2 linked regions of the Neurospora crassa OR74A genome follow. The protein of the gene in region 1 interacts with the protein of each later gene in a biochemical or structural test. Links are inferred from orthologs where the notes say so. Each region holds a gene or a part of one and is shown on either strand. Other genes may lie near its edges. The genes, in order: NCU04238 and hH3v.

Region 1 (3,739 bases):
AAATTCCAGTTGTACAATACTACAAGAATGTTTACTTGTCTTTTTTCGTATTACCATCGTACAGTCTAAGAAACTAATACAAAAAAACAACCCACGTTTATCATGTGTGCCTTTTGGGAGGTTCTGACGTTGATGAAGCTATCCTCAGTTTTGAAGGTGGGTTAATTTATATTCTGCCTTCTGGCTAGGCCACGTTTGTGTTTAAAAATGTGTCTTTAAACCAACTTCTCGATTATACCTACGTACCTTCAATCATGCGAGAAATGTCTATCTATCTACCTACCTACGAGACACTCACTGGTAGGCACAAACTAGGTACATCAGATCAGGGATTTGTTTCGGTTTCCTAGTTAGCTAGCTAGCTAGAGAAGATAGTACCCCAAACAGAATGCATAGCTACCTAGGTACGGACGGCAAAAGTAAATTCTTTCGAAAAGTTCATTCTCATCCTCCCTTTCTTTCTGTCTTTATCAAGCTGGACATTTATTGACATGTGCCACGTTGATGATGGTTTCTTGTTTGATTTCCAGGTCCATTGTCTAACAATATGATGTACCCTGTGGCGGATGTACTTCGTGAACTGCGCAAGTGGAATCCACTTACATACAAGGCTTTGGTCAACAAATGGTCCATGATACCCTAAATTACGCACATGTAACTCCCCTTTGTCCTGGTGGGGAATAGGTGTTGGTGATACCTTGTATCTTGGGGGCGCGCCACAAGAACTGTTGTCTTCTGACACATGGTTTAGTTTGGAGAAAAGTGTTCGATATCGACGTTGTCGATCCCAGAAAAAATAGGCAGAGCGTTTTCCGAGTGCCATAGCGGTTCGCCTGTTATTCACCGGCGGAGGGAGAGTGAGATGACGGAGGATGAGTATGATTATTTGATGCTTCAAGAAGCGCGCGCGTTTGAAAAGAGAAGAAAGAAGTGAACATTACAAGCCTGATCCTGACTGAGTGACTGAACTCCTACATGAACTCCATTTGCCCAATTTTCCCAAAGTCCATGCAATTCCATGGCCATACAATTACTCGTACCTAGAACAACACCCTCTGACCCATCTTGACTCATTCACTCTTCCTTCACCTTCTTGGCCTCTGGAGCACCCTCCTCGGCCGGCGCAGCCTCACTCTCAGCCTTTCTCTTCTTCTTGACCAACCCCGTCAAGTCATTCGCCTTCTCCTTGACCTCCTCAGCGACCTTCAACGAACTCTCGCCCTTAGTTCCAGAGACAGGCGCAGCGATTCCCAACGCCTCATTGATATCAATAGGCGGCTTCCTCAGATCCACCAGCCTCTGCTCCATATCCGAAATCACCTCCTTCACGTCGGCAATCTGCCGGCGCGTCGCGTCGTTGTCCTCGGGGTTGTGCGTGCTGGCCAGCTCTACTTCTTTGTTCTGCAGCTTGAGCTTGGTGGAGGCGATGGCGGCTTCGAGCTCGGCGGCGGCTTCGTCGCGGAGGGCTTGGTCTACCACGCCTGCACCACCCGCGCTGGCTTTTTCTGAGGGGACGGCGGAGTCGTCGTCGGAAGACTTGGTGACGGAGGCGAATTCGAGAGCGAGGGAGAGCTTGAAGTGTGCTTCGGCAATGATTTCAGAGTCTTGGGTGTAGAGCTGTTGTTTGTATTTGAGGGAGGCGCGGGAATCGGTTATGGCTGCTGGGTATCTGTGGGAGGAGGGGGGAAAAGGGATTGTTGGTTAGTACCTGGGTTATGTTTTGAGGTGACAAGGAGGGAGACAAAATGCTTACCTCTCGTTCTCGAGCGAGATCTCGGCCAAGAGGTCATGCAGATCGCCTAAGCGCTCCTTGATGTGCTTGATCAGAGGCGACGCCTCAGTAGTGGTGGCAGCCTCGTCGCTTTCCTTCTCCTTGCCCTTGCCTTCTTCTTGGGTCTTTTGCTCGGCTTCTAGTGTCGCGAGCTTCTTCTCAAAGAGGACACGCGCAAGGTCGAGGACCTGGAACGCCACGGCGAGATCATCGTCGTCTTCGTCTTCTTCCTCGCCCTCCTCGGCATCTTCGTCGTCGTCCTCCTCCTCCTTATCCGAGTCGTCAAAGTTCTCGTCGCCCTCAAAGTGGAAGAGGGGCTTCTTCTCCGGATTGGGCTCATCCTTGTGGGCAACCTCCCTGGCCGCCTCGGCGATGGAAGCTTGCGCGCCCTTAGTCGCCTGCTCTACCGCGTCCTTGATCAAGGATGATGAACCCGCTTCTTTCTCTTCTGTGGCGGCCTTCTTTTGCTTCTTGGACTTGGCCGCCTTCTTCTCGGGTTTGGGCTCGGGCGCGCGGCCACCAAGAACGTCGCTCTTGCTCTGGCCGACCTTGAACAGGGCGCGGCCGTAGAGGAAGAGGATCTCGGCGTTGTCGGGGTTCATCTCGCCGTTCATCTCGGCCTGCATCTCGGCGGCTTGTGCGTACAGCTCAGCGGCCTCATCGTAGTTCTTTTGCGCGTACTGGGCGGCGGCGTGGGCGGACAGATCGGCGAGGGAGACCTTGAGGGATAGCGCAGCTTCCTCGGCGTTTAGCTCGACGATCGGGGTCGCGGTGCCGCTTGCGGCGGGGGTGGGTGTTGACATTGGGATGAATTGGTTTGTGTGTTTGGGATAATTGATGTTTGGTGTGTGTGACAATGTCTCGATCCTGAGATTGGGAATCTCGATTTGGTGAAATGGAAGTTGGAAGGAAGATCCAAAGCAAGAGTTACAAGAGTCACAGAGTTACAGAGAGCTTCACAGAAGTTTAGAAGCTGTGACGCGATGGAGATCAGTCCACCCACAAAGACGCGTCTGATTGGCTAATTGTGCTATAAGGTGAATGGATGCCGCTGTTCATTGGCTGTTTTCAGCACTTTTCAACCCTTGACTTACTGGAAATGTGGGGCGGGGGAGCAAACGGCAGACCAACAGCAGACGACAATCGTGATCGATGGCGAGAGCTTCCCTTTCATTATGCTCTCTGAAGCTGTTCATGAAATCTCTGAGTCATTACCAAAATTAGCTGATCCATTGACCCTAACATCTGATTCCATTGCCAAAACTGATTTTGGTTCTGGAAGCTCTCTCTGCTCCAAGGTCAGTCTTTCAAGTTGGACAGGAAGCCAGGGTTAGGGTCATGACGTAGGACCTTTTGGCAGGCACTCTTGTCCTCCCGCTCTTGCTTCCCTTCTTCGATACCTCTACCCCTCGGACCCCTCAACTCAACTCATTTCCTCCCTTCTCCAGCCTTGTTCAGCCTGGTCACTTCAAATTTTCTCCCAAGCGCCAAAAGCATCTCTCAATCTCAAGCCGTTAGGCGGGTTTCAAACGTTTTGGCTAGCGCGTTCCAGTCTGTTTTCACGATTCATCAATCTTGAGAGTTGGTCCGTCCCATTAATCCGGCCATAATATCTGGTTTTGGTGGTTTCTGGTGAGTGTCGTAATCCTATGCAGTGGCCCTCGTTCTCTGCATCTGGCCAATGTCTTTGACAAGTCAGCATGAAGATTGAGGATTATAAATCAGTATCCCATAATTTCACCTTTGCCCTTCAGGCGCCGCTGCCGTGGTTGTAGGTCACCTGTTCTAATATCAAGTGAACAGAACACTCCGTCTTGACAGCCCAATCAACACACATTCAGAATATCTCACAACCAAGGATCTTACAGATTGCCAAGATGCTTCAAGCAATTGACAACATTCATGATCGCCAGTTCTTGGCCGCAGAACTCGCTTCATCAGCCACCCTCGCTGCGGAACTTGCGCAAC
Region 2 (3,916 bases), on another chromosome or scaffold:
CCTTTTTTTTTTTCCTTTTATCTTTATGATATTTTATCTTTATGATATTTTATCTTTATGATATTTTATCTTTATTCTCTTTTCCCAAGAGACGAATTCCGGATCCATATTAGTTCAGGCGCATGTCCCAATAGACTCGACAATAATGCGAAAACGTATATATACTCATTCTTGTCTCTGAAAACACAATATTTAACGCCGCTTTTCCTTGAGCGCAAAATCAATCAAATGATAATCTTCCCCACGGGATGCCATTGAACGCCGCCGCCGCCTGCCTGCCGACCCAAAGATCAAACCAGCACACCCATACACATACTTGAGATCAATGCCGAGCCGAGCCGCGCCATTTTCCGCCAACCACTGACTGGAATTGTCGCGTTTTGACCACCATTGACCGTCCCGAAAAAACACATCGAGACTTCTCCGACCTGGCATGCCAGAGAGTGGCCAGATTTCCCTTTCGCACTCATGGCCCTTCTTTCCAATCAGATTATGCGTTTGACCCCCTCCCCCCCCCCCCCCCCCCCCCTCTCTCTTTGGCCCCCACGCTAAAGCTGTTTGAGCCAGCTAAAGTCATCCAAGTGCGCGCAGATTCTTGGCTGCCGTCCGTTCATCGTTCTTTCTGCCGTCGTACTGGCGATGGGATTTTCTGTAGGCGGAGTCACGGGACATATCACAATCCCGTGTCCTCTCCCTTCCTACAACCCAACCGAGCAAGAAGACACGATCCAACGTCGCGCGCCTTCAACTTTTGGGAATACCCATACCCTGGCAATTTCATCCCTTCCACTTCCCTAACACCTCCCGTTCCCTTCTCGCTGCTCGAGATAGGATATCTGACTGACTTGGACCAAATTGACATAGCCAGACCATGCCAGGCTAAACCTTATGGTCCATTACAGTAGTAATAAGTAGTAGAAGTAGTAGTAGTAGTAGCAACAACTTTCGACTGCGCTTCCGCTTCCGCTACCGCTGCTGTTGCTGCATCAGCCGCACCGCCATGCGCTAATCACACTCATACCCACCCAGCACCTCCCCACACGCCGCGTATCCGGCGAGCCAGCTGGATGTCCTTCTGCATGATGGTGACGCGCTTGGCGTGGATGGCGCACAGGTTGGTGTCCTCGAACAGGTGGACGAGAAAGGCCTCGGCGGCCTCTTGCAGGGCCAGGATGGCTTGCGACTGCCAACGCATTTCCTCGTCCATGGGGCGGAATTGCATGGCTATTTCGCGGACCTACGGTTACAAGAAAGGGTAAGTCACGGAATCAGGTTTTTTTTTTTTGAAGAAGCGTACTATGCATAAACAACAATACGTACCAATCGCGCAAAGGGAAGCTTGGCAACCAAGAGATCTGTCGTCCTTTGGTAGTTGCGGATCTCCTTGAGCGCAAGCGTGCCGGGTCTGTAACGCCTCTTCTTGCCCTGGGGGACGGGGTCGCCGGCTGAATTTGTCAATGTTAGCTGCATGCGATCCTAACTGGGGTCGTATCCAATGGATCGATACTCTCCGCGCGTGCGCGCCTTAGGTATGTTGCGCTGAAAGCACCGCCGTAGATGGGACCAGGTGGATGGAGTGGTACGACATACGCTGAACACTGCTGGCGCGCGACTTCCTTCTTCCCGGGGGAGTGGCCTTGGGCGTCGGCACCGCCGCGGCTTTCTTAGACACCGCCTTTGACTTTGTTACTCCTCCCTTCTTTGGTGGCATTGTTGTTTATCGATGATGGTGAATGTATTGATAGGTGGTTGGTTCGCTAGTGACGCACTCGGATGGCGAAGCTTGAGGCCGTTGTTTATCGATAAGTCGTTTTTGAATGTAGCGAAGTGGAGGTAGCGGAAGCTGAAGCTAGGTGATCGCAATTGACCAAAGACCGGAGAGCTGGGTCGGTGTTGTTGTTTACGTCGGGAGCTCTAGAGTGGATGCGCCGGCGGTGCAAGGCAGCAAGGATGAGCAAAGTCGCTGTCGGGATCGAAAGGCAAGAAAGAGGACAAAGAAGATCCGAGGTTGCCCACTAAACAAAGCCGGCAATGCCAACTCACACAATTATTATCCACGGTGTCTGTACACAAGGGGAGTGGTTGGGTCTAACGTCGACTCGCTGGAATGGGGAACCTTGACGCGTAGGTCTACGCTTCTTTTTGATCGCGACTGGGCGCGCCGCTCGGTCACAGTGAATTTTGTGGGGTTCCATAATGGAGCTCGAGGAATGGGAGTCCGCTAGAGGTACCTCAGCGGGCAGGGGCACGCAGCCCGGGGTTTGGATCACTGGCAGCGGGGAAATGTGGGGTCCGGCCCAAGCAGTTCTTTGTCAACGTCCATACATTTACACTACATTCCTACCTAGGTATGCATAAATGCATAGGTAGGCACTACGGATAGTATCATATCTGGGCATGTCGTTCGCCCCTGTCAAAGTTCGACGCACAGCGCTTCCAGTGGCCACGGCACCTCAGCGCTTTCCACTGCCACACTTGCAGCTGCAGCCGCCTTTCCCCATACACTAGTTCCGCTAGCGAACCCGCCAGCCCGTGGCCCCGTCTTCCTTGCTTCCCGTCTTGAGACTACTTACTACCTCTACCTACCTAACCAGCTTGTAAACTGTGCACCTATTGGAAACCTTGTAGAGGACACGACATCATCAACACCGCGGCATCTAGTCATTCATCAACGTAACCTCCCACGCTCTTTTCCCTCGGGGTAGGCGTTATCACATAGCTAGGTCAAACGTATTCCGTCAAGAGATTGCTCCTCGTTCCAATCCGAATCCACGCATCGTCGCCGTTGAACCTGCACCAGATTGGAGACGGTACCCAATTCATACCATCCGTGTTAGCGACGCCGCTATCGCCCGGCAGACAGGACCCGCCAAGCATCCGATAACGAATCAACACCAACTGCGCAGTCGTTTGCTCTACGAACATTTCACCATGGACCAGATGATCGGTGGTGGTGGCGGCGATGCCGGCCGCTTCCCGCTCGAGACGTGGTTCTGGGAGATGCCCATCTGTACAAGGTGGTGGACGACGGCAACCATGCTCATGAGTGGCTTGGTCCAGTGCGAGCTTATAACTCCCTTCCAGCTCTTCTATAGCTACCGCGCCGTATTTGTTAAGTCACAGGTTCGTCGTGTACATGTTCATATTTCTACGAGAGAAATAGTTCGCTGACATGGCTGCTGTTGGTGTTCCTGCTCAGTACTGGCGACTACTCACCACCTTCCTCTACTTCGGGCCCTTCTCCCTCGACCTTCTCTTTCACGTCTACTTCCTGCAACGCTACTCGCGATTACTCGAAGAATCGGCAGGCCGATCACCAGCACACTTCTCATGGCTGTTACTGTACGCCATGGTGTTCCTCCTGATCCTGTCGCCGCTCGTTTCCATGCCATTTCTCGGCCATCCGCTTTCGTCGACGCTGGTTTACATATGGTCTCGCCGTAACCCAGATACCCGGTTAAGCTTCCTTGGGTTACTGGTGTTTAGCGCACCCTACTTGCCGTGGGTACTCATGGCTTTTAGCTTGACCCTTCATGGCACAATTCCCAAGGATGAGTTGATGGGCATGGTCATTGGTCATATCTGGTACTTTTTCACCGACGTGTATCCTCCTCTTCACGGCGGCTCAAGACCCCTTGACCCGCCCATGTGGTGGCGTCGTATCTTTGGTATGTAGTCTTCCTTTTGCTGCTCCGATGTACAATATGCTAACAACGATCTCAAAGAGGGCCGGCCACGCGAGGAGACCACGGATGGTATCAACAACGAGATTGCAGTCGCTGGCGCTCCCGAAGTTGCGCCACCCGAGGTCCGCTAAGGCGTGTGAATTGGGGAATGGGAAGCCGGTTGTACAATCCTAGTCAGGACCACGGGCTACAACTGCATGACAGGTTAGGTCATGCTAATTTGCTGACAT

Evidence for each region.
Region 2: the proteins of NCU04238 (region 1) and hH3v form a complex in vitro, tested with the Schizosaccharomyces pombe proteins (2 studies listed by BioGRID, with this or other methods). The link is inferred for Neurospora crassa OR74A from reciprocal best matches to the Schizosaccharomyces pombe genes sim3 and cnp1.

The regions. Positions count from the first base shown.
Region 1 is NC_026505.1:5,315,418-5,319,156, reverse strand, and holds NCU04238 (histone H1-binding protein), read right to left. Parts: upstream 2,708-3,739; 5' UTR 2,575-2,707; coding exon 1,754-2,574; intron 1,670-1,753; coding exon 1,075-1,669; 3' UTR 712-1,074; downstream 1-711. Other genes in the region: NCU04237 (phosphopantothenoylcysteine decarboxylase), read left to right, coding at 3,649-3,739. UniProt on the Schizosaccharomyces pombe protein: Histone H3 and H3-like CENP-A-specific chaperone. Promotes delivery and incorporation of CENP-A in centromeric chromatin, probably by escorting nascent CENP-A to CENP-A chromatin assembly factors.
Region 2 is NC_026503.1:2,782,486-2,786,401, forward strand, and holds hH3v (histone H3), read right to left. Parts: upstream 2,221-3,916; 5' UTR 1,712-2,220; coding exon 1,591-1,711; intron 1,446-1,590; coding exon 1,321-1,445; intron 1,238-1,320; coding exon 1,016-1,237; 3' UTR 529-1,015; downstream 1-528. Other genes in the region: NCU00146 (ER-associated proteolytic system protein Der1), read left to right, coding at 2,932-3,123, 3,200-3,668, 3,726-3,817. UniProt on the Schizosaccharomyces pombe protein: Histone H3-like nucleosomal protein that is specifically found in centromeric nucleosomes. Replaces conventional H3 in the nucleosome core of centromeric chromatin that serves as an assembly site for the inner kinetochore.